2 linked regions of the Cricetulus griseus genome follow. The protein of the gene in region 1 binds, or shares a complex with, the protein of each later gene. Links are inferred from orthologs where the notes say so. Each region holds a gene or a part of one and is shown in the gene's direction. Other genes may lie near its edges.

Region 1 (14,878 bases):
ATTGAATTTGCATTATTATAATTCCTCTTGGGAGTGCTTACCCGAGGTGTATATAGAAGTCAAATTCTTAGTTCTGAAATGTTTGATGCCCTTTGGGGAAAATAGTGATGCATTTCCCTTGCAAATGAAAATGGAGGGGGTGCATATAATTGTAAAAACTCCAAACTTTACTCCAAAGTGCTTTCTCCATTAGATATTACTCTTTCCCAGAATCCTCTCGATGCTGCGAAAAAATTCTATTGGCCAGATGTGTGGGCAGCCTACACTGCTTATCAGGAGCCTCTGGCCAAGGTTACCATACAGTTCTGACACTTGGATGTTGGCCAGGTGAAAGGAACATAACAGGCCAGATGCATAAGTTGAACTAACTTACTTGCTTTGGGGTATTTTTTGAATAAAGGACAGACTATCTAGTGGGTTCCAAAGGGCAATCAGCAAAGCAAATCTTTTTATAAATTTATTTTGACTTTTAATCTCAAATATCCCTGTGAATCCTGGAGTTATTCATATAGCTATTGGAGAAAACAATGCTTGCTATAGTGATCATTGTCTTTCGAGCCTCTGAACTGTCTTAAAACTTCAGACATCCTCTGATAACTAAATTTGTAGTATAAAAGGGTCATGGATAGCTCTTTCTCCAGTCTTAAAGGTATTTCCTTCAGTGACAGACCTCAGCCATGGAGTAGGGCTGCACAGCAAGGGTTTACCTTCCTCACGGTGCTTGCAGACAGCCGACTTGTGTTAAGCTAAACTGGAGTCCACAGTGATGGCTGTACCACACCACACTGACTCTCAGTGCCACTAGCAGCTTCATGCCATTTAGGGTACTAACAGGGTACCAGAAACAATTTAAGAAAATGCTTAATAATGGATTATTTCTAAATCACTGCATCAAATAATTAACATCCTGCTTGGCACTCATGGTTATTTATAGACCCTGCAGTATACCAAAATCAGCCAAATTGATAAATCGCCCGTAATGAAGCTTCCTGATGAGAAAGTTCCCCTTTGACCACATTTGAAAAGTCCAGACTGCTTTTGATGTATTTTAGGTTATCAATAGATGAATCCGGTTACAGATGGCTAGAGCCTCACTAGGTAGAAGCAGCTATATGTGGGACAGCTTGAAAGTAAATCACACGGCAAGCCCATTTGCCAGCAGCGAAGGTGGACCTGTCAAGCCAGCCGTGTGGATGGCTTCAGACCGCCTGCCAGCCATCTGGGTTGTCCACCTGGCTGGAATCTCAGGGTCTTCTCCCAGTGTGAAAACAAGAATGGCTGCCTGTCTTCAAGGACTACTTAACTTAGGGGCTTGGAGCAAGTCTGCCCTTGAAGAAGTCCCTCATGGAACAGTGAGAGCAAAGCTAGGAGAACTCTTTCCATAACTGGAGATAGTCTCCCACCTCTTAGCCACTTAGAGTCTATGTCCATCTTCCTCTTTCTCCTCTTCAATGATTGATTTTGGATACTGGCATTGAAGCCTAAGGCTTCTGCATGCCCCCTGCCTGAGTTGCACTCCCAGCACACACCTTTTCTATTAAAAAGGGTGGGGGTGAGAGATTTTCCTAACAAATGTGTGTCTAACCATCATGCATTTCTCTGTGGGGTTTTGTTTTAAAAGGCTTTTGCCTTTTAGTGTTGCTATGAGGCTTGGTCCTGGAGTCAGTAGCTGGGACTCTGAAACAGGCAGTAGAGTAGTCTGTAGTAAGTAGACTTCAGTAAATTGACTTACTTCATGAAAGTCCTTACTGTTTACTTTTCAGAAGCTGGGGGGCTTCCAAGGTGACTGGAATAGAGTTGATGCTTGGAATTTGGCTTGCCTTCTCCCTCAAGGACAGACTCCAAGCCCCCAAACTGAGCTGTCCCTGAAGGCAGGGCCTTCCTGTTCTCACACTGGTAAAGGACCCTGAGATTCCAGCCAGGTGGGAGACCAGATGGCTGGCAGGTGGTCTGGAGTGGTCTACATGGCTGGCATGACATGTCCACCTTCACTGCTGGCAAATGGCCTTGTCATGTGATTCACATGCAGGCTGTCCTGCATTGTAGGTGGATTATATCTACTTATGGGTTTTAAATTCAAGTTTTTCTTACCTCAAAAGATAGGTTTGGTAAGCCCAGAAAATGTATCAAGAAGCAAAAATGAAAAATAAATTTTATGTTCACCATTTAAGAGGTTTTTTTATTATTTCATTGTTTCGCATTATTAATATCCCTTATTTGTATCTTTTTCCAGACCTGCATGTGCGCGCGCGCGCGTGTGTGTGTGTGTGTGTGTGTGTGTTGTGTGTGTGTGTGTGTGTGTGTGTGTTGAGGCTGTCAGCTGAATGCTCTAGAAGAGCACACAGGTTTTGTTCCCAGCCCTCACATAGTGTCTCACAACCATCCATTCAGTTGCCCTCTTCTGACCTTCACAGTCACACACTTGATAATACATATATGTAGGCAAAACAGCCACATATATGAAATAAAATACATTTATCTTAACAAAAATGAGGTTGTGTTATTTCATTTCCTGACTTTTTAGTGTTGAGTACTGATGTATTAAGAATGTCTTTTCAAGTCATAAAATATTCTTCCACAGCTTTCCTTTGGTATCTCTTTGTACAGATCTTTCATAATTCCTTTAAGTCCACATCTGATACAATTTTGAGACATTATAGAGTAAGACAGTTCTAAAATGATGTGACTGAGTTTTAAAAGGAACCTGTCAGGAGTTTATAATCGTCTTGTTTAATCTTGAATGAGTGACCTTGCCCAAGTGCCTGGAAGTTATGAAGTTGCCATCTGTCATTATGTTTCATGCTCTTATGTCTTCCACACACTGTCAGTTCTCAGGGCTATTCTAAATTAAGGACTAACTCTCAGGTTGTCTTTAGTATGGTAGTTAATCTATGTAAAAATAGTTGCCGGTCTTTTCACATTAATCTATTTGTAGACTTCATACATGTATTTGAGATCTGGCAGTTCTTGTATCTGTTTTTATTGAATCTTAGTATTATTTTGACATGACATTTTTTGAACACTTGTTTTTGCATTGTGCCCAGGCACACCCCCACCCCCCCACCCCTCCACCCCATACACGTCCATCCATGCTGCAGTGTGATTGTAAATCAGAGGACAGTTTGAGGGAGTCGTTCTCTCCTTCCACCATGTGGATCCTAGGGACTAGAACTCGGGTTGTCAGCCTTGGAGGCAAGTGCCTTACCCACTGAGCCATCCTGCTAGTCCCTTGATTTGACATTATAAAGTCTCTAAAGAGAAAGAGAATCTCTAGATACTAGAATGGTTATGAATGTTGAAATTGGAGGGAAACAGATATGGAAACGAGCCATTAACGTAGAACTTGAATCTCTCTTACTCTGGAAAAAGACAGCAATAGATGCACTTCTAAACATGGTTCTTGGCTCCAGTGTTGCCACCATCATCACTTTCTTTCATCTCTCATAAGATAATCAGTCTTGGGGAAGGGTATGTGTGACACATACATAACTGGAGTGTCTGTGTGAATGCCAAACCTCTTAGAAAATGCAGCCACCTTCCTGCCTCTCTGTTACTTATATGGCTCCTGTGGTCTAATCATTTATTTTTTTATTTTTTAATTAAATGATGGAAAAACAAAGAAATGGGTTCAGTATGTGACTGTAAACTTTGATGATATTGCCCCCCGACTCTTCCTGACAGCAGCATGAGTAGTCCTTTTATATTGTGGACCTTCTGCTGTGTGAAAATTTCCTTTTCATTTGAGCCAGGTGTGTTTTTACATCAAATTAGCCTTGTTCACTTATAAATGCATGCAGGGTGGCCTCTAATTCAGTGGGAATTTAAATTAATCCAAGAATAGGTACATAATTTTTCTGTGGGCATTATGTCAATATCTTCTGAATTATGTGGCAAAATGAATTACCTACTTTGCAGAGTAGAAAAATGACATTTCAGCCTGCGCCTGTGCATCCTGGCAGCCCACATAGCTCTGTGATGGGTGTTCAGCTCCCCGGCTCACATCTGGCAGCCTGCATAGCTCTCTGAGGGTTGTTCAGGTCCCCGGCTCATATCTGGACTACTGAGGATCCATGAATTGAGCTTAATGAGTCTGACTAAAGCAGGCTTTCTCCAAGTAGAGACATTATTTGGGGATTCCATCTTTGAAACTAGGAGGGTTTTTTTGTTTGTTTGAATTGTATATGAGGCATCAAGCATGTGTGTTTACATGTTCCCGTGTGTTTGCATATGCCAGTGGACAAGTGTGTGTAGGGGGAAGAGATTGAACACTTATTTGTTAAAGCAAGGTCTCTCACTTGAACCTTGAGCTTACTGATTCAGCTAGCCTAGGTAACCACCAAAGCCCTATTATGGCTTCCAAGTACTGAGATTATAGGTGGGCCACCAGTAGGTGCCTGGGGTCCGAACAACAGTCATTACATTTTCCTTGCTGCTGCATAGCAAGCACTTTCCCACTGAGCCATCTCCCTAGCCCCCAGGGGCTCTTTCTGAATGCTTTTTAGAACAGGGATTCAGAAAAGTCCACGAGCGCACAGTCACTGGGTTTGAGCAGCCAAAGGATTAAGAAAAACAATTTTAAGTAGTTAAAAAGGCCAGAAGAGTTTTGAATAAAATGAAGAATAAAACTCATAATCTAGTTGGGGATACTACTTCATTAAAGTAGCATTTTGTTGTTAAAATGGGTTTTGTGTTTAAAATATATGGGCATAGGAGACTAGGGTTGAAGCTTTTGTTTTTGTTTGTTGGACAAATTTCTTTTTAAAATGCCTATATGGGGGCTGGTAGATCAGTTTATAGAGCTTGCTTAGCATGCATGGAGGTGCTCTGGGTTTGAACCCAACATAAAAGAGGGTGGTGGTGTACCCCTATAATTTCAGCACTCTGAAGGTGGAGGCAGGAGGATTAGCAAGGTCATCTTTGGCTGCACAGAGAGTTTGAAGTCAGCCTGGGCTAGATGAAACCAGGCCAAAATACCATATATATATATATATATATATATATATATATTATATATATATATATTTAAGAAGGGACAAAATATATTTACAAAATATCTATTCTAAGGATGTCTGTAATTTCTTAAAAAAATCAACTCTAGTTATTTTATATTCCTGTTTGAGCTGGTTTACATTCCCTCTCATTATAACAATATTATGACAGGAATGTAGCTTCTATTCAGACCCAACTAGAATGGTGACAGATTGTTAAAAATGGCCACCGCAACACCATTCCGCCCCAGCAATCCCAGGGTTACAAAACAGAAATCCTTCTTGATGACCACTCCCCCATTTGGTCTTTTATTCTTTGGAGACCTGAGTCTGTCCTCTCTCCGGCTGATTATATAGTACAGGCAGATTGTATTGGGCATGGGGACTGGTTAAGGTAGGCAGGGCCAGAGAAGAACTCTACTCAGAACCACTTCCCTGCAGGACATGAATGGAAGATGAGTCTCCCCAGCTCCCTTCTGTGTGCCTGGAGCCTTCCAGTGCTTGCTGCCAGCTCTTGTTATATGTACTGCATTCTTAAAATTAATTTTGTTCTTGCTTTCCACATAAGCCTAATGGTGGTGAGAAGAATATTTTTCAAATCACCAATCTGCAGGGTAAAACAGTGTTTAGGATTTTAATTGCATGAGCAACAAATTCTCATATTACATTAACAAATGACTGCCTACGAGCTGATCATTGTTGTTGGGGACGCCGGATGGCTTAAGCCTACGGTGTTTTTCAAATGGAAAAAGCTATTTAAAAAAAAATCTGCACAGGAAACATGTAACTTAGACACTTCTTAGGCTTATCAAAAACCCCAACTTGGGAGGAATTAGGGAATGTGTCATTTGATATCCTATTTTCAGAATGTCTAAGAAACCATAGTCTGACTTAACCTGGAGAATTGCAGAGTTATGTATCTTTAGCAGTGAAATGCATATTTAATGCCATACATGGTGCATTGAGCCACTTATAAAATGCAGATAAGCTCAGATTTTCATTTTAGGAATCAGTTTTACCTAGCTCATTCTTTATGCATTAAACATTTTCCTACTACAACCTGCCATGGACAGCCCACACTGGACCGGTGTGACTTAGTCTTCTCAGAATGAGGTATCACACCTCCAGTGTTGAGGACAGGGCTGGGACTAAGATTAAGTAAGAGAACAAAATTGTAGGAGACACTCACAGGTCCCCACATGCATCTTAAGGGTTAGTGATTCTGAACTGTGGCACGCAGGGCCACTTCTCTGGCCCCTTCTAATCCTGGCTTTCCTTGAGTTCCTTTAAGGTACTTTGTTTAAAAAACCAAAAAAACGACAAAAACAACAAAACCACATAAAATGCTGGGTCATATCTTCAGTTTCCAGAAGCTGGGGTTTGGAGCAGGAGTCTTCTCAGAAAATCTAATGCATATCTAAGGTTTAGTACCCTCTGAGGCCCAACAGGGCAAAAGCAATTCAGCTAGCCTCAGGTAATGACCCACCTGGGATAGTAGCTTTCAAAAAGAAACAACAAAAAACCTACTCAGTTAACCAACACAGGAGCAAGTAGGCCAGCCAGAGCACAACACTCTGGCCTGGGCCAGCCATTATGTAACTGCTACCAGGTGTCATGCTAGAAGGCTTGGATCTTAGAGAACACTTGTCACTGAAGCAAAGAATAATTGATGGTGCGTGCTTGAGCTGTTCCAGTTTTTTAATTAAAAAGGTTTTATACATTCATTTTTGGCTCCATGCTCACTGTATGATGAAAAAGGTTAGAAGAGAAAAGTAGAAACAATCCATAAGCCTGATAGCCAGAGGCTATCATTATTAATGCCACAGGGTATCCTTTCAGTATTGAGGAATTATTTCTCTATTGTACCAACCCAAGAAAAGCCCATCTTAGGACATGATGGACCCAAGCAATGGTGAGTGACAAAAGAAGAAGGTCCAGCCAATGAACTTGAGATGTTTGAATCACGCCATCTCTACCACCTCTCTGTGGACTTCCCTACTCACTTGTTAGTGTCAGATTTTTAAACTCCATGTCTAGGCATGCATGTAGATTTCCTGTCTCTTGCTTCTCTGTTTTATGAATAAGGGTACTAGGTCTCCTGGTCAGGAAAGCCACAGTTTGGCTACTCTCCCAGTTATCTCCTTGTGGTATTGAACACTAATTCCCTTGGGTGGTCTCAAATTCATTCACCAGCTCTTATTGGGTGTCTACTGCCACCAGACCTACACCCTAGTCTAACATGCAGCTCTTGCCATTGAGAGTCTGATGGAGGAGGTGAAGCATGAGCTTGAAAAACAAAGTCCGGTGCTCCTTAGGGCCCCAGGATCAGGGATAGAGACCAACCAACTTGGCTTGGGAGAAGTGTGGGGTTCCTTACAAGTGGTAGTGACTTCTTGAGCTGAGTCCAGAGAGACTCACCGTATGGCTACTGCAGTTTCCAGCAAAATAGCATTCTCCTAAGAGTTCACTGTTGTTTTATGTCCTACTTTTTGACCTGATCCTACGGTTGCCTGTGATAATTAAATGAAACTTGCCAGATGGATGCTTTTGCAAGACGATGGCTCGTCTTCTTGCTCTATTTGTGAAATCTGGCATTAGATCCAAATTCTCAAGGGTGCTTCTACCTTGAGGATGGCTTTGGGAGGGTAGTGGCTCTTTTTGTGGTATTTGCCAAATGTCCTGCCATCAGCAGGAACAGGTTGAGTGACAGGTGGGTGTGTCATGCATGTGGACACTGATCCCTGCCAACCCATCTTGCTTCCAAGGAGGTGGCGTGCTGAGCAATGACTCTCAGAGATGTCATTCAACATTGCTACTGCCTTTGGGAAAATGAAGTCCTTCAGCTTCTGACCTGCCAGTCTTTGCGTCTCTCATCTATTGCTCTTATTAGTTTGCATGTAATTGATGTTGAAATTCCACTACTTCCGGTTAAAACACATGCTCGCGTGCGTACACACACACACACTGTCACACTGTCACACTGTCTTAAAGCAGAAATTTTCAGAACATTAAAGGGAGAATGAAGGGTGGTAAATATTGTCCACTTAATCATAGCCAGCTTGCTTATTTGGGGAGCATAGTAGTCCAATAGAAAACAACCAAATCAGTAATAATAATAACAATAATAATAATAATAATAATTATTATTATTATTATTATTATTAATGCATTATTACATGCCTGTATGTCATTCTTGGTTCTTTAAGAGATATTTATGACATTTGCATATATGTGTGTCTTTGGGGGGCTGCAGTGTGTGCCATGTGCCACAGCATGCTTGTGAAGGTAAGACTGTGAGTACCACAACTGTGGATCCCAGGAACCAAACTTAGATAGTCAGGATTGGTGGCAATCTTCTTTACCTGCTGGGACATCTCAACAGCCTTCATTCTTAGTTCTTTGCATGCTCCGTCACATTTACTCAACACCCTGCAAGATGGTCACCATTGTTCCCTTTCTATAAATGAAGAAGTAGAGTCAAGAGGGGGATTTGGAAGCGTAATCAGTTTGCACTGTCCATTACATCCCTGCCTTGCTGCTTCTGAAGTCTCCAGTGGTTCAGGTGGCCATCTCTACCTGCATGATGCTGACTGTTAACTGGTTCACCCTCAAAGGGCTGGAAGCCTTCAAGTATGATGCTATCAGAACTGTGCCGTACAAGTTCATCTTCCTTTCACTTGAGAAATAATTTCAAGAATTTGAAATTGTTGAATATCAATTGATTATTGTAGTTACACAGGACTGTCAAATTAGTCTTCCTGCTGGTATAATTTATGTTTTTGCTGATTACTCTCAGGCTATAGATAATATGTATGAACAAAACGTCGTGGCAGGTTTCTTCCTGTTTTCTGTCCAAGTGTTGTGTGAAATAAAGGTTTAGATGCTCGTACTGCCATTCACTATCCAGTTTTAGCTTTCCTGTAAGTATAGCAATCCACCTCTTATCAGCACCATCTCTTGCACTTCCTAAAAGGAGAATGTAGCTTCTATTTTTTTGCAACAATTCCTGATTTCAGCCATTCCAGTGTCCATAATTTAACATGACGTGTCTGGGCAGGTAGAGTGACTTGAACTCCTATTGTCAAGGAATCTAGTTGAGAATGCTGATTTTTGACCTGAAGCAGAAACCAGCCAGGTTGGTCTTGGCAGCCTGTGGTATGTAGAGTTCTTCAGGATCCCTATGCCTTCAGGTAGATAGGGGTCCATGCAGGGCTGGACAGTGTACCTCCTGAGCCCTCCAACCACCTTCAGATGTCTTCCATCACTAGTTTGGGTGAGCAGCAAGTCAGGTTCCTCAGTGGCCTCTGGAAGGATCTAGGGATGGTATAAGAAAGAATGAGACAATCATCAGGGTTGTTTAGCAGACTGACATAGCTATTTCTCTTCCTGCAGCAAAGCCAGAAATCCTGACGTCTGACAGGCTCGCGAATGGTATGCTCCAGTGTGTGGCAGCGGGATTCCCAGAGCCCACAATAGATTGGTATTTTTGTACGGGAACAGAGCAAAGGTGAGAGGATTATTTTTGGCACTGCTTAAAATTCAGAAGGGAAGGGCTATAATTCAATTGCATTTCAAATGTGTTTTCAGACTTACTATTTATTTATATTTTTTTTAGAATAAAAAGCTGCATTTTGATAATTTCTTTTTCTCCTATATCTTTGTGGCTTTTTAAGAAGGGATAATGGCTATATTTTTCTTGGTCGACATTAATTTTGTTTGCTGAAAAATGATTACTGAATGCCTTCTCTATTTTGGTAGTTATCTTTTTGGGTTTATCGTGCAATTTCTAGCCTGCAGGTAGATAAAGCAATTTCCCAGGGCAGAGTAATTAGATTTCCATTCTATACACAGGAGGCAATGTGTGTGGGAAATGTGGCTGCAGTTATCATGAAAAAAATTACCTCAGAAGTTAATTGCCAAGTAACCAAAAGTAATGATCGCACAATTACAACATACATATGGCGTTTGTGAGCAATGGGTTTGAAAAAGTGTTTCTCCTTGATTAGGTGCCCAGCCCCTGAAAAAGGAACATCTGCCATTGTGTGGCTTTCCCTCGACGTCCACACTTAAGCCTTAAATTGTCCTCTTGAATTACCTGAAGATGAAAACAGGGTCAATGTGCCATTTTTACACATCAAACACCGTGTTATACTCCAGTTTCAAAAGCTTAGTTTGGCCTCATGGATAGTCAGAATGGCGGTGGAAATCTTATTTTACATGGAAGACATTTTATGACAACACGTTAGGATGTTGGCTTGTTGTTTTGGTGTGGGTTTCACCAGAATGTTTTGTTTGGGGGGTACATAAAACCTCTGAATGCTGTGCCTTCCATGACATGGCCTGAGTAGATATCTTGCGCTCAGCAAAATGTTTACATGGAAGCCAACTGTGTGCCAGATGCTTGTCTAGTGTACACCATGCTCGGCTGTACCCACATCTCTGCCTGGGTGTATCTGAATTCTAGTGGGCATAGAAGAGATAGCAGACAAGATGAGCAATTGATTGGTATGTGTAGGTGTTTAGAAGGCAATGGAAAAGAGGTGTTCAGAGACTGTTTCCTGGAGATCCTTGCAGCCAGAGTGGTCATCACACACATGGCATGTGCTCCCATCTCCGAACCTAACTTTTTGAGTTTTTTGTTTTGTTTTGTTTTCAGGCTTGTTGATTTCCTGCAATTTCCTCTTCTACACACTTTATCTTCAACCATCACTCATGCTTTCCAGATTTGTTTCTAAAAGTCTGTGGTACAGTGGCGTTTAGTGCCAGCAGCCATTTGAGTCCATTCCTTTCACCTACCCTTGAGATGGTACAGCCACAGAAACCTAGCAGTGAAGAGTTGACAGAACCTGGCAAAAGTCACCAGGTCGGGCACTTGGAGTCAGGGCACAGGTCCATGTCCAACCTCTAAACCATTGCTCCCTTTCTGGTTTCCTTCAGTACTTTCCTCACTTAGAGGTCCCCAGGGGGCTCATTCTCCTTGGGCCATCCTGACCTGATGGCTGGGAAAGGGAGTTTTTATTGAGCCTGAGTTTCTAGTCATACAAATGTGCCAGATCAAAGTGTCACATGCTTTTATTTGGTTTCCTGGTATAAGCCCACACTGTCGATCTCTTATTGTAGGTGTGCCGTTCCCGTCCCACCAGTGGATGTACAGATCCAGAACGCTTCTGTGTCACCATTTGGAAAACTAGTGGTTCAGAGTTCCATAGACTCCAGTGTCTTGCGGCACAACGGCACAGTGGAGTGTAAGGCCTACAACGATGTGGGCAAGAGTTCCGCCTTCTTTAACTTTGCATTTAAAGGTAACAACAAAGGTATATTTCCTTTTGATCCAATTTAAGGGGATATTTAGGCTCTGTGTACCATACCATGATCTTAACTCCATTCCAATATTGGCCATAACATTTCTGGTAATGCCTACATCACACTGTGCTGTCATCAAACTCACAAACTCTCATTCCATACTAGTCTGCTGATGAAGTTTTGATTTTATCAATGTAATATTAGCCATTTTGCTTTACTTGTTCTCTTTGTGTTTGTCCGAGCTTCTCGACAAGTTACATGTGTGCAGTTATAGTTGAGTAAGGGAACCTTCCTTCATTCTACTCAAGTATAATTAGGAAACTTTAAAAAGTTTAAATTCACTGGATGTGGTGGGTGGTGCACAACCTTTAAGCCCAGCACTCAGGAGGCAGAGGCTGGTGGATCTCCATGAGTTTGAGGCCAGCCTGGTCTACAAAGCGAGTTCCAGGGCAGCCAGGGTTACACAGAGAAACCCTGTTTTGAGAAACATAAGTAAAAATAAATAAATAAATTCTATTTATGACTTTAGTTATTTAAGATGAGTTACATTTTCTTAAATATCTGTGTCAAAATATCTTGTCAGCCAATAGTTTTTCCCCAATTTTATTTGTGTGTGTGTTTGTACATGTGTGTGTAGACATGCTTGTGCACCTGCACTGTCAGAATCGTACAGAGCATGTGCATGCTATGTGGATGGCCTTCTGTGGGCTGTACTCCTTGTCCAGCCAGTTCTTTAGGTTCTGCTTCCTGAGTGACTAGCAGGCCACATGACCCTTGAAGGCACTGATGAATGGGCATATATGAGACAAGGAAACTGGGCATCTGAGTTTGCTTTTAGTGCCCAGTTTCTGTGGTGTCCAGCATTGGCCATAGGGCTCATGCCAAAAAGCTGCATGACCTCAGCCTTTGGATAAGGAAGAGCAGAGGCCTAACACTGCTCTCTGTATTGTTACTTTTCCCAGACAGAGCAATGAAAAGGACACCTCGAAAATGCCTTTCCTCTCTGCCAAAGGCATTGATGTTCAGGGTAGAAAGTATAAGAGAGCAGGAAGAAAATGCAAAGCACCCAGAAAGGAAGTTCATTCAGATGTTGCTTTTTACTGAAACAGCATAACATTATGTGTATGCTACAGAAAGTTCGTTTTCTTTGTAATCTGGTTTTAACTTACATCTCTGGAGATGCCTGCACGTCCAGTGAGGTGTGAGGTGTGAGTGTGGTGCAGTGTCAGAGCACTTACCCAAGTTTCATCCCTAGCACATAGTAAAATAAATAATAATAATAATAATAGTAATTAATAATGAAAGAAAGAGAGGAAGGAATGATGCGTTTGAATACCAAGAGTAAGATGTGTTCCCTGCATGCGCCATGAGAGAAGTTCAGTTTGGGACAGGTGGTGGTGGCCAGGCTGTTGTCCTGCAAACGGCTCACAATCACAATTCTCTTCCCTTGCAGAGCAAATCCAGCCCCACACCCTGTTCACACCACTGCTCATTGGTTTTGTGATCACAGCTGGCTTGATGGGCATTATTGTGATGGTTCTCGCCTACAAATATTTACAGGTGACTGTTGATTTCCTCCCTCTCCCCCGGATGCCGCAATGACCGAGGCTTTGATTGTTAAGCGGTGACATGTCTTTCCCTTTCTCCTCCAGAAACCCATGTATGAAGTACAATGGAAGGTTGTCGAGGAGATAAATGGAAACAATTATGTTTACATAGACCCAACACAACTTCCTTATGATCACAAATGGGAGTTTCCCAGAAACAGACTGAGTTTTGGTCAGTATGAAGCTGGGGCTTTCCACGTAGCTTTTTTTTGGTGTGTGTGTACACATAACAATGATTTTAAGGAACCTTCAGTGGCTTCCTTTGTCTTGTTTCACCTGAAACAAGAAGTGCCTTCTGTCAAATGTTACAAAAGTTGGCTGGGTTAGCAAAAGGAAGACTATAGTGAAGTTTCTCCAGACTCATTCTCCTTGAGTTGCCTTGTTGGTTTTGGAACCGTCACAATTGTCCACCGGGTCTTTCCGCTGACCTTGTCTTCCTTTCTAAAGGGAAGACGTTGGGTGCCGGTGCCTTCGGGAAGGTTGTTGAGGCCACTGCATATGGCTTGATTAAGTCAGATGCTGCCATGACGGTTGCTGTGAAGATGCTCAAACGTAAGTGTCCAGAGCGTCCACTACCTGCCCCCACCACCAGTTTGCCTTGTGGGTTTTTCTTTTCTTCATTTTGCTAAAATACATTGTTTTCCATTTTAGCAAGTGCCCATTTAACGGAAAGAGAGGCCCTCATGTCAGAACTGAAGGTCCTGAGCTACCTGGGCAATCACATGAATATCGTGAATCTCCTTGGAGCATGCACCGTGGGAGGTGAGTCTTGTGTCTACAGCACCTGTTGCTGTCTGTCGGGCTATCAAAATATGATTTGGACAGTGCTTAATTATAAGCTGTTTGGGAGTTGTTGTTGTTGTTTTTTCCAGTATTTTGTTCTGTTTTCCTTTCCTCAGCATTCCTAAGAATGTAGTTTTTTCGTTTTTTTGTTTCAGATTCCTGTCCTTTTGTTACTTTGAGATGAGGGCTATAGTTGCCACACTATGTTGTAGAAAATTGGGATTACTCCCCACAAGTGTGTTTTGGTGCCCATTACTCAGCCTCCCATTCCCCTCCCACTCGACAGTCCTAAGGACCTCTATCCAGCTCTCTGCAGATCAACATCTTAACTCCCACAAATGTGTGGCAACACGCAGGATGTTTCTTTGTATAGAGCCACTCACACCCTCCTTTGCTCATTATACATTGCATGCATGTATTGAATTATAATACCCTCCCCCTTTAACAGGTACAGGGATATAGCTTTTGGCTGTATCATCCCAAGGGTTGGGGGGATAGCCAGGTATATGCAACTTATTCTCATGGATGCTACATCATCATGGGCTCTTCTCTGGCTTGGCTCACCCAGAAGGCTTTCCTAATCTTAAAGCTTTAGATATTGCTGGGTCATAATTAATCACTCAGGAGTTAATGTTCTGTAGCAGAAAGTAGCCCTGAGCCTCCCACTTCTCAAATGTACCCCAAACAGAGCAAGCTTTTCACTTCCATTAAAAAGGAAGCTTTCAATTCGAACCCTTTAGTCAGTGTTCCCATTGAGGGCGTCTTGATGTTTGCAGGAGGCATTTTGTTCTAAAGGAACAAAGGTGTGTGGATTGAGCTGTTGCTGTCTGTCCAGAGAGAGCCACGAGACAGCAGACAGGTTTCGACAGTGTCTCAAAACAGCCCCCGTAACTGGTGCTTCATCAGGTCATGAATTGTTCATGAGGCAGTTTCTACCCACAGTAATTAGTTCCCTGTTAACTTGGAACAGTGCTTTTAAACATTCAGAGCACCAACTCTCTTTTCAACTAGTAATGTCAGCAAAACGGGTCGTTTCAGGTTCTTCGCCCACTTTCCAGACCGAGCTTAGCTGACTGTTCCATGTGGTTGATTCCCTACCAGGCTACAGCTCGGGCTCTTCATTTTCATAATAACATTACAGCAAGGACACAGAAACCTGCTGAACACAGAAGTGCATCAAAGGGTCCCTGTAGGAAG
Region 2 (15,522 bases), on another chromosome or scaffold:
AGTTCATTTTTCTCTTGCGGATCTGTCTTTTGCCCATTCTGTAGTAACTAAGAATATATGAGGGTTGAATAAAAGTAATATTTCTTTGCCTATACCACCCTAGGAGTTTGTAACTTTGAATTAGTATCATATGAAAAAATTAAAATAAGAAAAGATTTCATTGCCAACAAAAACCTTGTCCTTCACTAAACTTTATGTGGTGCTCTCCGGGACCCTTTCCCAGCCTGGCTCCATCAGCAAGCCCAGCGTGGCCCAGTCTTAGCATCCCTTCACGTCAGCTTGTGTAGAATTCCCATCATTTATATCTAGTCACTTTTTTGCTATCTGATCAGTTTTCTCAGCCTCCCCTGCCCCAGCTCTGTCCTCTAGGTGATGCCTGGTCTCCCTTGCCTGCCTTTAACAAGGAGCAAGAACAGTTGGCTTAGCTAGAATCCCAGCTGCCGGTGAAGTAATTTTGCATCCACTGCCCACAGATGCTCTGCAGCTGTGTATCCCCAACGACCTAGTAAATACCATGTGTTTGGAATTGAGCCTATACTGTGCTCCCTTTCTGAATAAAACTCACTTACCATTTGCTAATAATATGTGTACCCTCCAAGTTCATATGTTGAAATCCTTCTGATATCAGCAAGTGAAGTGTTGGGAGAGAGATGATGAGACCGGAAGGGGCCTTCTTGAATGGAATTAATGCCCTGATAAAGGAGTCCTCGGGGAGTTCCTCAGCCTTGTCTTTGCACATGGCTCTCCACGAACCAGGAAGTGGTTTCTATGCAACCTTCACTTATTGACATCTTAATCTTGGGCACTGAGCTTTTGGAACTGTGAGCGCTAAATGTTTGTGGCTCATGGACAACATGGTTTACAGTGTTTTGTGATAACTATGCAAACAGACTGACACAGCTTGAATTACAGTTGGCTTCTGACCTTCTTTAACGTAAAACATTAGGCTTTTCTTGTTGTTTGTTTTGTTTTAAGATGGAGTGTCAGTATGTTTCAAAGGCTGATCTTGAACTTCTGGGCTTAAGCAAACCTGCTTCAGCCTTGTGAGTAGCTGAGACTATGGGCAAGAATCCGTAAAACATGATTAAATTTGTCAGAATCTGGTATTTGTAAGTGAGACTTTAAACATGCCTTGAGATAAATAACAAAATATATCTCACAAGTATGTGTTATAAAGTTTGTTAAAGAGTGACTATAAGCAACTCAAAAGTTTGGCAAGCTTGATGACAGTTACTTAATTAGTTCCATATATGATACACAAATAAATTACCCACACAGATTCTCACTCACAAATTGACAATGCTTTTTCTAAGCACATCTGGGAATTTTGCGAACAGAAATAATAAAAAAACCACTATAAAACAAATTTATTGTCAGTCTTTTCTTTCCTACCATGCATTTGCCGTCACTCAAAGCTAGCATTTTCATGTTTATGTCTTAGAAAACAAATGCACTGGCATCATTAAATCATTCATTTATCCAACAATGAATTGCTGTTATCCCCGCCTCACATACTATGTGCCCAGGACTAGGAAGTTCTGAGGAATGGTAAAGCCTCTGTCCTTCTGAATTTGAAGGGCTCAGAACATAATGGTGTTTAATAGGTAATCACGTAAGAAAGCACACAGCTACATTCACAGGAAAGTTTCTATAGGAGTAATATGATAGTTTTAATTTATTAAAGATTTATAATATGCTCACTTTGTGTTAAGTATGCTGTATAATACTTAGTTCTATTACCAACCCTGTGAGATGAGAGCCATTGTAAGTGATGATAGATTTCTACAACCTAACCATGGCCAACAATGTCTGAGGCCTGGATGGTTAGTGCTTGCCTCTGATTTTTGTCAACTTGTATCATCCAGTGTTAGAGAAGATCTGGGTTAGTTTATGGGAGAAAATGATCATATTACTCACTCCCCACCATTCCTTAGGTGCTATGTGACCATTCTGGCCTGCCTGCCTGCCACAAGCATTCTCTTGTGGCTCAGGGCACAATACTCTAAATTTATGACACCTTAATATGCTGTGGACTTTGGACTGAGGGTGTGTGGAAAGGCCCGAGCTCAAGTTATTTCTGCTTTCCCATCTCCTGTCCTATCTCTACCCTCAAATGAACCATAGAAACCAGACTCTGTTCTCATGGTGAGTCACAGAAACTGGAATCTCCCTTCCTCAAAGCAAGCCATAAATGTGAAAAGATTACTTTCTCCCTTCTCCTTGATTCTGGGAAGACCCCTATCCCAGAGGGATAAGTATAAAGGAATGCCACACAGAAAGACTCAAGAAGGGGATAAAAAACAGACCTTTCTCTGGCTTTCTCTGGGTCAGTCTGTTACCCGTACCTCAGTCCTTTTGGCCCAGTCACATTTCTGAATACACAATTCCATCTACTCCTAATGGCACTGAAGCACAGAAATAGTTTTTCTTTGCATCTCTGAGTCCATATCTTGAAGCTTCCCCATGCCATATAAAACCTCAATTAAGTAAACATGTCATGCTTATTGCTTATTGCCCTGATATTTTTTCAACAGAATGTCATCCAGGACCTTTCTCTTTTTAAAAAATTTATTTAGCTTATTTATTTTATGTGCATTAGTGTGATGGTGTCATCAAGGCCTATCTGATATATCCCTCCTCGCCTCTACCTATATCTTCTCTTTTCCTTTCCAAAGCACAGGTATTTTATTGTACTTGAAGAAAATGAAGGACCTTGGATATTTTCTCTCATATGGTCATTGGGGCTCTTAGTGGTATATTTTAATCTCTATTTTGTTTTGCTTTGAATAAAGTTTTATTTTATTTTTTTAATCTTTTTTTTAGCTTTTCTGTATTTGTTTTTCTACTTATGTGCATATGTGTGTATCTGTGTGCAAGTGTAGGCACTCAAGGAGTCTGGAAGATGATGCCAGATTTCCTGGAGCTGGAGTTACAGGCAAATTGTAAGCAACCTGATGTGGTTCTGGAAACTGAACTCAGGGTAGTCTGTCAGAGCAGAGAGTGCTTTTAACTGCTGAGCCAAAGCTCCAGCCCCTCCTTACTACAAAGAAAGCCAGATAGCTACCATGAGAAAGATCTGGATGTATCTTGTGACCCAGAATGTAAGATGTTAGTCACTAAATTAAAATAATAGCCATAGCAACATTAATATCATAGGGCAAGTAATTGTAGAGATAACAGCTTCTAAATATACTGTTGATATCTCTGCTTGGCAGAACCTCAAGCCTCTTGTTGTCTATAGACCTCTCCTTGGCAATCCACCACCCTGCCTGTCTATAACAACTCAGTATTTCTTTGGGTGACATCTTTATCCTACCTACACCCAGTACAGCCAAGATACATGTGCAAATGGGAAATTTCATTTAAATTCTATATGTACATTTTATAGCAACTAATGTTTATTATTTGTAGTTTTAGATAGATAGTTGATAATATGATTCCTTATGACTTTTTCAGATGTCCTTACTGTTATTTTGTCCTCCCCTCCTTCTTCTGTATTTCTCTCTTTTCCTCTCCCTAAATAGAGTTTCCCTCTTTCCCATTCCCTTCTTCAGATGATTTGTACAGTTCTATTCCCCTCTCTAGTGTCTCCCCCAGCCCAATGGTCCCCTTTTACTTTCCTGGTTTCTGTAGTTATTCTAGGTTACATTCGCACGTCTGAAGATTTGGAGCTAGGAGCCCCAGATGAGAGGGAACATTTAACATTTGTCTTTCTGGACATGGGTTACCTCACTCAACATAGTGTTTTCTAGTTCCACCCAAATCTCATGACTTCAGCTTTCTTTTTTTCTTTACAGCTTAATAGTACTCCATAGTGTATATGGACCACATTTTCATTACTCATTCACCAAGTAAAGGGCATTTAAGTTGTTTCCATTTCCTAGTGTATTAGTCAAGTTTCTTTTTGTATTAATTTTTATTTAAAAAACTATTTTTCATTTTACATACCAACCCCAGTTTTTCCTCCCTCCCCTCCCCCCTCTTCCCTCCTTACATCCCCCATCCACTCCTTAGAGGAGGTAAGGCCTTCCTTGGGGAGTCCAAAGTGTGGCATACCAAGCTGAGGGAGGACCAATCTCCCCCCACCCCTGTATCAAGGCTGAGCAAGGTATTCCAGCATAGGAAATGGTCTCTAAAAAGCCAGCTTATGCACCTGGGATAGGTCCTAGTACCAGAGTCACATAACTGTCATTCACTTTCTTTAGTTCAGTGGTTTTCAACCTCCCTAATGTATTGACACTTTAATACAGTTCCTCCCCAACCATAAAACTATTCTGTTACTGTTTCATAACTGTAGTTTTGCTACTGTTACAAATCATAATGTAAATATCTGATGTACAGGATATATGATATGTGACCCCTGTGAAAGGGTCTTTTGATGCTGAAGGGGTTGCAACCCATAGGTTGAGAATCACTGCTCTAGAGTAACAGAACTTACAGAATTAATCTCTCTCTGTATCTAAAACATACATATATATATGGGATTTATTAGAATGACTTATAGGCTGTGGTCCAGCTAATCCAACAATGGCTGACTATGAACGGGAAGTTCAAGAATCTAGAAGTTGCTCAGTCCACATGGCTGGATGCCTCAATTTGTCTTCAGTTGACCCTGGAATCTCAAAGAAGTAGGCTCTAATTCCAGTGAAGGTACAGACTTGCTTGCAGGGCAAGGGTAAACAGGCAAAGAGCAAAGACTTCCTTCTGACATGTCCTTTTATGTGTTTCCTGCAGAAAGCGTGACCCAGATTAAAGGTGTCATCCTACCTTCAAAATCTGGATTAGATCTTCCCACTATTTTGGGGTTCTGATTAATTTCAGATGTAGTCAAGTTGACAACCAAGAATAGCCATCACACCTAGCTATTGTGAATAGAGCAGCAACGAACATGGCAGAGCAAGTATCTATGGAGTAGGTCGTCAAGTTCTTTGGGCAAATGTCAAGGCCAATCAATAACTCCCACTTTTTGAAGGTAGAAACTCATTAAAACTAAGTAACTAGTCTATGTTTATATATTTCTTCAAACTGTCCACGCTGTAACATGGTCCAGGGTCTCGGCCATGTACATTGCTGCTGAGGGCTATTGATGTCTATTGCTTGTTGATAGTTTCCTGCCCCTAAAGCAGATGAGGAAACACCCTTAGCAGGGCTACAGACTGAAAAGCTCCCTTCCACTTAGTCACTATTACTTGCTTTGTAATTTAATTTCAGTCTATGTTCTGTTACTCACTGAAAAACAGATATCTGACTTCAACTTAAGTTGGAGTGGGTTTGGTGGCTCAAGACTAAGGAGGCTATCTTGGGGATGGCCAGAGAGGGAGGGAGATAAGAAAGATAATAAGAAGTGAGTTACATTTCAACCAGGGCACCAGTAGTGATGGTGTTCATTAATCCGTTCAAGTAACACTGCGAATGCCAGTGGTTAGTCTGGTAAACAACACATCGCCAAATGGCAACTGCAATGCCATCCCATTGTAAAAACCGATTTAACACACTTCCTATTACTTACCCAGATTTTGTGTTTAGATGAACATCTTCTACTGAACCTGAATATTTCTAGAAACTAATGTTAATTAAATTTTGAACTTAACTGTTATTTTCTTAAATATTCAATATTTCTTAACATAGTCAATAATACATAACAGGCCTGGAGTTTACACTTGAAGCTCTTTTAAGTCGTCTTCTGTTCCCCAGCCTTATTTCTTTGTATATTTTCTTTTAAAAATGAAACACTTTAAAAGCTCACACTAATTCTAAGATAGATTTTTAACAACATGTATCCCCCCCCTTTCTTGAGATGTTAATATTTTCTTCAACTGCTCACCATTTACAGGAAAAATAAATTCCCATTGGCCTACTTATAAACAGTATCAAATTTTTCTGGGTCTGCTGCACATTAAAAGCATATTGTGTTAATTTGTGAAAAAGAGAGTTAAGTTGCCAAAGCCTAAGTGTATACACACACACACACACACACACACACACACACACACACACACACACACACACACACACACACCTCTATTAATTCCAGGAATTCCACTGAAAATGACTCTACAGAAGGTAGATGACTTGAAAGAAGGGCTAAACCTAGTTTTCTTAGGCTGTCCTTAAGACCAAGCGGGAGTAGGTACGTGGAAGGCTTTCCCACTTGTGGCTCAGCCTGGACAGGAGGCGGCCTTGAAGTCCTGGAGAAGAGAAGAGCATGCTCGCACCCTTTAAGGAGCAATCGCCTCTGAGGACTCAGAACGGCCGGGCTGCCCGCTCTGGAGAGGGGCGGAGCCGCTGGCACCCGCGGTTATGGCCCCGCCCACTGAGTCCCCCCTCACCCCGACGCCCCGCCTACCGGGCTGTGCCGAGGGCGCGGGCGGCCCGGGCTGCTGTGCGGCCGCTCCGCTCCCGCCTGGGCCGCGGCCGCGCGCCCTCCCTTCGGGGAGGAGGAAGAGGAGGAAGGAGGAGCGGCTTGAGGAGGGCCGAGCGCGGCAGTCGCTCCCGCCGCCGCCGCCGGGAGGAAGCGGAGCCGGCGGCCGCAGGGTGAGCGGCGTGGGGCTGGGAGGGAGGGGGGGTGGTGGCGCGGGGTCGCGTGCGGCGGCGGAGGGAGGGGGAGCCAGGCCCCGCCCGCTCGGCCCACGCGGGCCGCGCCGCCTTTGTTGCCCGCGGCGCGGTGTGCGAGGCCGGCTCGGCGAGGCCTGGGCGGCGGGGCCTGCGGGCCGGGCCGGTCGGGGCTCCCGGAGCGGGACCGGGGAATCGTCGCGGCCCGGACGGCCCCGGGGGTGGCGTCCAGGGGACGAGATGCCGAGTGGAGCCGGGACCGGTGGCCGCGCGCGAGGGCCGGCGGAAGGGCCGCGCGCGGGAGGAGGGCCGAGGCATTTAAACTGCCCTGATCCCGCACAGGCCCGCCCGCCTTTGCTCCCGGAGTTGGCAACTTCAGGTACACACACCATTGTGGCTCCTGAGCGCCACTGTTGATGTTTCCCGGGGCAGAGTCTGGCCCCAAACTTGGGAGAGTTGTGTGTACCAACTTAGTGTGTAGTCAGAACGCGATTTGGGGTTCTCATTCGTCCCCACTTTTTTGTAATTGGAGGCCGGTGAGACGGAGGTGGAACTCGGGCTTCCGGTAGGGAGCTAATGTTGAATTCTTGAAGGTCTCACTAAGGCAGCATGCTGCTGCTGCTGTGTGTGCCCGAGGACTGTGCAGTATGCTAATTACAATTATAATGTGAATGGAACACGGGAGAGACCTCCCCAAGTACAGTCTTAATTTATAGTGTTCCCTGGGATAAAGATAAACTTGTAACTGAACAGAGGTAAACTCCTGCCTACGCAAAGGTGAAATACCAGCCATAGTAGGTAGCGGTTTACTTTAAACTCACCAAATCCCACAGTGGAATCCGTGTAGTTTTACTTGAATGAATGAATTTCACTTGGAATTCTCAGTGCTGTGAAGGCAGTGGAAAACACGAGTGGTATTGCTTAAAGGCTTCACGGGTAAAATGCAGAAGAGCTAGCATATAATCTGACTTTTCTGCACTGATTTCTCTCCAGTGCTTCGTGTATGGATGTGGGAAGAAGTTTTAGGGTCTATCCCTGCCTCAGGAAAGTAGGTCATCTTAACCTTTTGGTTCCACCACTCTCCCTAACCCTTGTTTATTTGAGGACATGACTTCTGGACAGTGGGCTTCATGAGGGATGTGGGAGCGTTTATTATGCAGGGTTGGACCAGGTCAAGATCTACCAAGTTATTTACCTGAACCTCTAGCTTCTCTATGGCTCCATTTAGCATCTCTTTAAAGACACTGCTCTTGTTTGCTTTTATCTTTTAAGACATTCTCTGAATTGGTGCCTGGCCCTGCTCCTTTCCCTTCTGACCATGGAACTAAAACACTGTCTCCCTCAGGGAGTCATCCGAGTGCCCTCCCTTGTTAGGACACCTGCAGGGAGTGGCAAGGCAGGGATTTGGGTGCCAGCCGAAGCACAGGGTGTGGTGTGGAAAAGTGCTGCTGTACCAACTGGATTCCAAGCCATTTACCTTTCCATGTTCTTCTCCAGTCTTGCTTTAGAACGGAGACGCTGTTGTTTTTAAGAGCTGTCTTTTCAGAGAACAGAAACCAAGTGCCTTCATGACCTTCTTGTGTAACTTCATCCTTAGAGAAAACTCTGCTATTTTTGCCACTGTGGACAGTTGTAAGAAACTCTGTGTTAGCCTCTTGTTTTGCTTGCAGGGGGTAATTGTGTGATCTTACTTAAAAAGTTCTGAGGTATGCTGAAAGGAGGCAAAGCTTTTATGTCCATTTCTGAGTTCTTGATGGTCACTGTCACTCTCAAGAAAATGTGTTCACAAGAAACAGAATGATACATGTGTGTACGACATTGGTTTTGTGCTGCTTCTCTTCTGACCTCTTGAAGTTACAGAGATAGCATTGATGTCTGAGGGTACCTGCATACTTTTGTAAAATTATCATTTTCATGAGGAATCAGCTTTCTTAACCTGGCTATCTTGTTGATATCTGAATGACTATAAGATTTCACTTTCCAGACTGCACACAGAGGACGTGACAAGTGTTAGGGTGTTCATTCAATAGCACTGTGACCTTGAACAGGCTTTGGATCTTCTGAGTCTTAGTCCTCAAGTGGATCTAAATCCATCTCACAGTTATAGTAAATATATATTTTATTTGAAGTACATCCAAACTCTTAATTGGGCTACAGGGTTTTGCATAGGTTGTTTACACTATGTCTTATACAATAGTCGTACCCTGGCCTTCCATTCCTCAGTATCCCAGGCTGCTTTCCAGAGCCCAGCCCTGATACACTGCTTTTGTTGACTGTCAGTGTCCACCAGTGGCTACTTGTGCGAGAGATTTATTCCTAGGCCTTACAGCCAATGTCCACACCTCAGAGAATCTTCCTAAGTACTTTGAAGTAACAAATTGACACATTTCCTTTAGACATGGTTGTTTAAGTATTCTATTCTCTCCTTTTTGCTCTGTTAGTATCCAGGTTCCATGAGGTAGTATGCCTGCCATGGTCTTTTTTCCCTTTGTGTTCCCAGCACATGGAACTTGGCTACTTTCCCCTTTGTGTCTTTAACATATCCTGTGGAACTTGCACACTGAGCAGGGACCTGGTATTCAAAAAAGTATGTGTAGTTCTCATCACATGACAGAAAGAGGCTTGCTGTGTAGATAGATATTAGGTAGCCTTTGGTATTGTGAGTTGTTTGTCATTGTCCAAGCTGATCTGTTCAAATGAATAAATCAAAACACTAATAAAATAAAAAACCTTGTATTCACATGACTTAAACAGCCCTTCACTGTTTCCCTGTGGAGCCATAACGTGTAAGTTACTCATGAACCAAACCGACTGCCTCACTTTCATAAGTGGTTATTTGTCAGTGTGGAAAGTAACTATTCTGGGGCATATTTCCTCACTGTTCCTTTACATAGCCTAGTGAAGTCAAGCCTCAGTTATCTGGAACCTCTTGGCAGCCTTAGATTTCAGCAGAGAGTCAAGCAAGAAGGAAAAACCAATTTGTAATTAGACATGCCAGACACTTAGACTGATTGCAGCAGTCTTTCTCTGAAATACAAATCTAGATTGAATTTTAACACTTTGATTTTGTATAATTGCTTTTCAAAAAGTTTTATTTGTAAAGTTTCTAAAAGGTGAGATGAAAAATTAAGACAGTGCATGTGACTAGGTTGATGCTTAGAATATAGCAAGTGATAATAGTAATAACTAATTTAAAATGTGCTTGGGCTGGTCAAAAGGAATATGTTGTGGAAGCAGCAATGTCTCTGTGTGATGCAGATATTCTTGCTAAAGAAGGGCAATATGGGAAAAGAGTGTAAGATGCAGTGGTAAGAGAAATGGTCAGGATGCAAAGCAACTGGTAGTATGCAAGTTGCTGGGACATATGTGTGTGTGTGTGGGGGATGGGCACTGGTCACAGTGTGCATGCAGTGGAGCTTGACTGTGGGCTCAGTACTCTTAGATATGTGAGTCCTTTCTGAAGTTCCTTGACATGTGGTTTGAAGCTGTCTTCCTCTTTATAGCCACCACACTAAAGTATTGTCTTAAAATTATTGAAAAGGTTTTGAAGACAGTTTATCCATTTTTCCACAGCCAACTTTTGGACATTAGAGAAGAAAAGAAAGAAATGATGGCATGTAAGAGGTCACTGAGGACCTTTGTGACAGTATGAACTTGTATTTAAACTACCTTCTTACAAAGGCATAGGATTGTGTGGCTCCTATTATATAAAAGATTTTTTAAAGAATTTTAATTTTAATTTACTATGTATACAGTATGCTGTCTGCATATTTGCCTGCATTCCAGAAGTCATCAGATTTCTTTATAGATGTTGTGAGCCACCATGTGGTTGCTGGGATTGAACTCAGGACCTCTGGTAGACCAGCCAGTGCTCTTAACCTCTGAGCCATCTCTCCAGTCCCTAGATAAATTTTTGGGTGTTTTTTTTTTTTGTTTTTTGAGACAGGGTTTCTCTAGCCGTGGAGCCCATCCTGAACTTGCTCAGTAGACCAGGCTGGCCTTGAACTCACAGAGATCTGCCTGTATATGCCTCCCAAGTGCTGGGACTAAAGTTATGTGCCTGATAAAAGGTTTTTTAATAAAGAAATTAATCATTTAGTTTTGATCTTTATAATTCCACAGACAAGCTTGGTTTACTAAGTGCTTCAGAGAGCCAGTCTTTGCTGTTGACCTTATTCAGACCTTAGTGTCAGAAGTGTCAAATAGTTGAATCAACAGGGTTAACACACTGAGATGAAGATACATTCTCATTGGTGGATGTACTACTTTGCATGTGTGTTACTTTCCTTGTGCAAACTTTGTTTTGATATTTATAATACATTATTCTAAAAGTTTAGCTTTGGGTTGTTTTTTGTTTGTCTTTTTTATTTTCTTCAGACAAGGTTTCTCTGTGTAACCTGTCCTGGAATTTACTTTGTAGACTAGGCTGGTCTCCAGCTCACAGAGGTCCACCTGCTTCTGCCTCTTGAATGCTGGGATTAAAGGCATGTGTCACCACGCCCAGCAAGCTTTGTTTTCAATGAGTACTTGTCCTTTGGCATCCCTTTCATTGGGGGAAAAACATATTTAGGGAATAATGTTACTAAATATCACAGACTGGCAAAATTTATAAACAAGAAGGAAGTCTCAGGATTTTTGTGCTTTTATACATCTGTAAAACTGTTGTAATTTCAGGCTACAGGAAGTTCAACAGAGTATAATCAGACTTCATTCTTTTACAGATGTGTAAATAAATAAGTAAATAAATTCAGACATGTGTTTATGCAGTTAGCCTAGTTATATGCCAGTTCTGTAGGGGATTTCAACATGAGATCTCATGCACATAGCTCTTCTTGATATTGATACAAGTGGCTAGGCATTTGTACTTCCATCTTCACGGACAATTGTTTGGTTTTGGCTAGGGGCGATACAGAAGCGGGGACAAAAAGAGCCCACTCGTCAGTCTGGAACTCACACCTGTAGAAACTTCCTGAAAAGTGAGGAGGTAGTACTTTACTGGTTTTGGCTTGTGTGCTAGAAAATGCTTGCTCAAGTATTTGGTTTATAGTTTGGCTGAATTTAAGGTACAGCTTAAATTTACTCAGGAGAAATAGGTTATGTTTCACTGATTAACCCTAAAATCTCAGCTATGAAGGGTAATGGTTGGCTTTTTGCTTTCCTGGATTTTGGAGGGGTGGGATCCTTGTAATTTCTCTTGGATCTGTCAGCTCCTCTGCAATTGCTGTCCTGTGAATCCAGGCAAGTGGAGAATAACAGATTGATGCACTGTTAATCCACTTCCCAGAATCCATCATTTGGTTTTGCAAGAATGCCAGGGAATGTGCAAGATTCAAGGACAGAGCCACTGAACTGTTGGAGGTTTGAAAGCAATGCCATTGACACCTGGCCTTCACTGTTACCTTGGGCCAGCTACCACTTGTTTATAGCAGATCTCTGTCTCTAGAAAGTTTTTGTATTATCTATTAATTACTAAAGCTTCACAGTGGTATGTCTCATCATTATTCTTCTATTCTTAGAATGTAATATTCCATTGATTTTTTTTAACTTAAAAGACTTTAAACTTTGCTTTGCAATTTCTTCCCCCTCCTTTTTGTGATTTTTCTTTTAACCTGGATTGATTTGTTTATTAGTTATTTTCTCATGTCAATCTTTTGGGGGTGTTTTTGTTGTATTTAAATGTTTCACAATGGATTTTGGTTTTCTTACCCTCCTGTACCCCTTTAAAAAAATAACCTTGGACTTGTTTCAAATCTGTGATATTTTCTCAGGCCTGTTTCTTCTTGTCTTCCCTTCTAGAAGGATTGAATTTACTTACTTGTTTTTTCCAGTGCTGGATCTGGACAGCAGGACTTGGCATATACTCGGCTGGTGCACTGTCACTGAGCTGCCACGGTGCTGGGAGCTGCAGCTCAGGCTTGTCTACCCCAGTTAACATTGTTCTCACTGGTCATACTTTCCCTTTGCTTTCAGGGTTCCATTGTGTGGGGGGAATGGTAGTATGCTTGTCAGATTGTTGTCAACTGGACACAAGCTACAGTTATTTGGGAAGAGGAACTCTAAATTGAGAAAATGCCTCCCTGAGGTTTGCCTGTAGGTAAGTCTGTAGTATATTTTCTTGATGAATGATTGATGTGGGAGAGCCCAGCTCTTTCGGGACACTGACAGCTCTGGTCAGGTGATTCTGGTTGACAAAAGAAAGAAGACTGAACAAGCCATGAGGAGCACTGGTAAGCAGTGTTTCTTCATGGCTTCTGTTCAGCTTTTTCATGGTCGTGCCCTGACTTCTCTCTGTGATGATAGACTGTTATCAGAATATGTAATCTAGATAAACCTTTTCTTCCCTAAGATGCTTTTGGTCATAGTGTTTTATCATAGGAATAGAAACCCCGGCCAAGACAGGTAGCAGTTAACATGTATGCTCATTCTTGTTGATAGTGATTTTTGTTGCTGATTGTTGTTTTGAGATAGTTTTGCTGTGTTGCCAAGCAGAAACTTACTATGTTGTCAAAGCTGGCCTCACACCCCCATTCTTGTGCCTCAACCTTTCAAGTGATAGGATTATAGGCCTGTGCCACACATTCTGCTCAAAAACCATACGGTTAATCAATCATGACTTCACACAAAACTAGCAGCTAACTGGCTGCTTCCTCCCTTCCCCATCCCTTTTCTTCCTTGTGTTAAAGCTCAAACTCAGACCTTAGTTATCCAAGTTAGGCAAGCAAATACTTTACCACATTCTGCATCTCCTGCCCAAAGCCTCTTGATCTAAGTTTTAAATTGTATTATTTAGGAGAGGTCAATGTGTGGACATGTCGAGATCAGATGACAACTTATAGGAGTTGGTACTCGGCTTTGACTGTTCGGATTCTGGGGATTGAAACTCAGGTCATCAGACTTGGCAGTGTCAGTATCCCTACCTGTTGATCCAACTCACTAGCCCAATTTAGATCATTTTAGTAAGTGTAGAGACGCCGCTGGGCATGGTGATATATACTTTTATTCCCAGCACTCAGGAGGCAGAGGCAGGCAGATCTCTGTGAGTTCGAGGCCAGCCTGGTCTACAGATCGAATTCCAGGACAGCCATGACAGTTACACAGAGAAATCCTTTCTCTAAAAACTATTCCCCCCCACCAAAAAAAAAAAAAAAAAAAAAAATGGAAAGAGACCTCATCTTTGGGAGTGCTCAGTAATTGATTATTTTAAATAAATTATTAGTTTACAAAGCAAGCAGTCTTTTTGTGAGATTGTTAATTTTATTTTTTATTTATTTATTTTTATTTATTTTATTTTGCCTAATAGGGTTGTATTTAAATGATTATTACTTTATTGATGGATAAAGTTTACACTGGCTCTATGTAGATTTAATAGTAATCTTATGTGAATTACTTTGTATACCTCAAATCTGTTATTCTAAAATCTCATTCTCAATTTAAGTATAATTCAGAAAATACGATTTTTTTTACCACAAAGCTTATAACTTATGGCAGAAATAACAACAAGTATTATATGTTCTATATGCATTTGAATGATGTATTATTTTTTCTTTTCTTTTTGAATTGGAGCTTCTGTGTTAAGATCTGTAGACTACAGCAGTTTGTTACTTTTCTGTCATATTTGTATTTCAGTGTTTCAGAATCTGAGTTAAGTGCCAGGTGGTCATAGTGGCAGTGGTGGTGATTGCGTTTAATCCCAGCACTTGGGAGGCAGAGACAGGCAGATCTCTGAGAGTTCAAGACCAGCCTGGTCTACATAGCTAGTTCCAGTACAGCCAAGGCTATACAGAGAAACCCTGTCTCGGAAGGAAAAAAACAAAAAACAAAAAGAACCTCAGTTAAACTTTTTTACTGTAATAGTTCAGTTCATTGAAGAGATTTTTATTTATGAGCAAATTATATTACATCTCTGGAGAAAATACAAAGTCTTGGACAAATCACCTGGTAGCATTATTTTGCTGTACTACTTCTGCTCTAGAATCAAAACAAGCTGGCAAAATACAGATCTTTGGATTTTATGTAATTGTTCAGTTTGTCCAAAAATCTTAAAGAACATTATCTACTTGACAGCTTAACCAGAAAGGTTGTACTTATTGTAGCAATGGTGAGCATTTTGGAGTATGTGTGATGTTTCAGTTAAAACCATTCTGTTGACATTTATTAAAATGCTAGTTGATTTTAACTTTCAACTGTCAGTTATGACAATGTATCAATGAATCCTGTTAAGTTACATTTATAACAGAGGACAGGCTTTATTATATAACTTGTCACTGAGTATTACAATAAATCTTTTCAAATAGCTATAACTGTGCCTTAGTCAATAAAGTGGGTTTGTGGGAATCACTAGGATTTGAACGTAAGGTGGGTAGCATAGCACATGATTTCCCTTTATCAGTATTGCCCTGGTGCCACTGGGTTATAGTTGAGGAAACAATTTGTTGATATGTCTGATAGTTGTTTTGTAGATGACCTGGCCCAGGTAGATAGGTGTGTTAGTTACACGTATTTTCAGTATAATCACCAATTCTCCAGCGTGAAAACTGGTGGCTTCCATTGTGACACTGTCCAGAGTAGTACAGATCCCACAGGTAGGAGCTTAGTTCATAGACTTCCCCTGTTCAGATGCCAGCTTGAAGTCCTGGCCAGATCTGCTTTCTTGCTGACTGGCCATTAAGTCAGAGGTTCCTACAATGACCTCTTCTGATGAGATAATTTGTAGAACTTAGTAAAAAACTTAGTTGGCTGATTTACTATAAGGATTGTGTGCCAGGAACAGCTGAGGAGAAAGGCTGCATGGGATGGGGTGTTGGGTGTGATTTGCAGCTCCAGTGCCCTCGTAGTATGCCCTGCTCTCCAGGTACTTGTTGGTGATCTAGTTAAAGAGTGTTTATAGTGCCCAATCAGTTTCTAAACTCATCCCTTCCCTCTATGGTGTAGGGCTGGGGCTAAAAGTTCCCCCTCTGTAATCTAAGTCAC

The links.
Region 2: the proteins of Kit (region 1) and Socs6 are in contact, whole or in part, in a crystal structure (PDB 2VIF), measured with the Homo sapiens proteins. The link is inferred for Cricetulus griseus from reciprocal best matches to the Homo sapiens genes KIT and SOCS6. Residues at the interface, in NP_000213.1 of Homo sapiens: Asn566, Asn567, Tyr568, Val569, Tyr570, Ile571, Asp572, Pro573, Thr574; in NP_004223.2 of Homo sapiens: Arg391, Glu395, Arg409, Asp410, Ser411, Ser412, Asp413, Ser419, Phe422, Thr428, Leu429, His430, Thr431, Arg432, Phe442, Tyr443, Glu444, Gln445, Val448, His460, Asp464, Ala469, Phe470, Cys471, Tyr472, Ser473, Arg474, Ser475, Arg476, Thr482.

What each region holds. Positions count from the first base shown.
Region 1 is NW_023276807.1:142,115,931-142,130,808, forward strand, and holds part of Kit (mast/stem cell growth factor receptor Kit), read left to right. Parts: intron 1-9,380; coding exon 9,381-9,495; intron 9,496-11,108; coding exon 11,109-11,302; intron 11,303-12,744; coding exon 12,745-12,851; intron 12,852-12,943; coding exon 12,944-13,070; intron 13,071-13,345; coding exon 13,346-13,450; intron 13,451-13,549; coding exon 13,550-13,660; intron 13,661-14,878. UniProt on the Homo sapiens protein: Tyrosine-protein kinase that acts as a cell-surface receptor for the cytokine KITLG/SCF and plays an essential role in the regulation of cell survival and proliferation, hematopoiesis, stem cell maintenance, gametogenesis, mast cell development, migration and function, and in melanogenesis.
Region 2 is NC_048595.1:227,440,532-227,456,053, forward strand, and holds the start of Socs6 (suppressor of cytokine signaling 6), read left to right. Parts: upstream 1-6,348; 5' UTR 6,349-6,534; intron 6,535-12,522; exon of another isoform or gene 12,523-12,646; intron 12,647-15,522. UniProt on the Homo sapiens protein: SOCS family proteins form part of a classical negative feedback system that regulates cytokine signal transduction.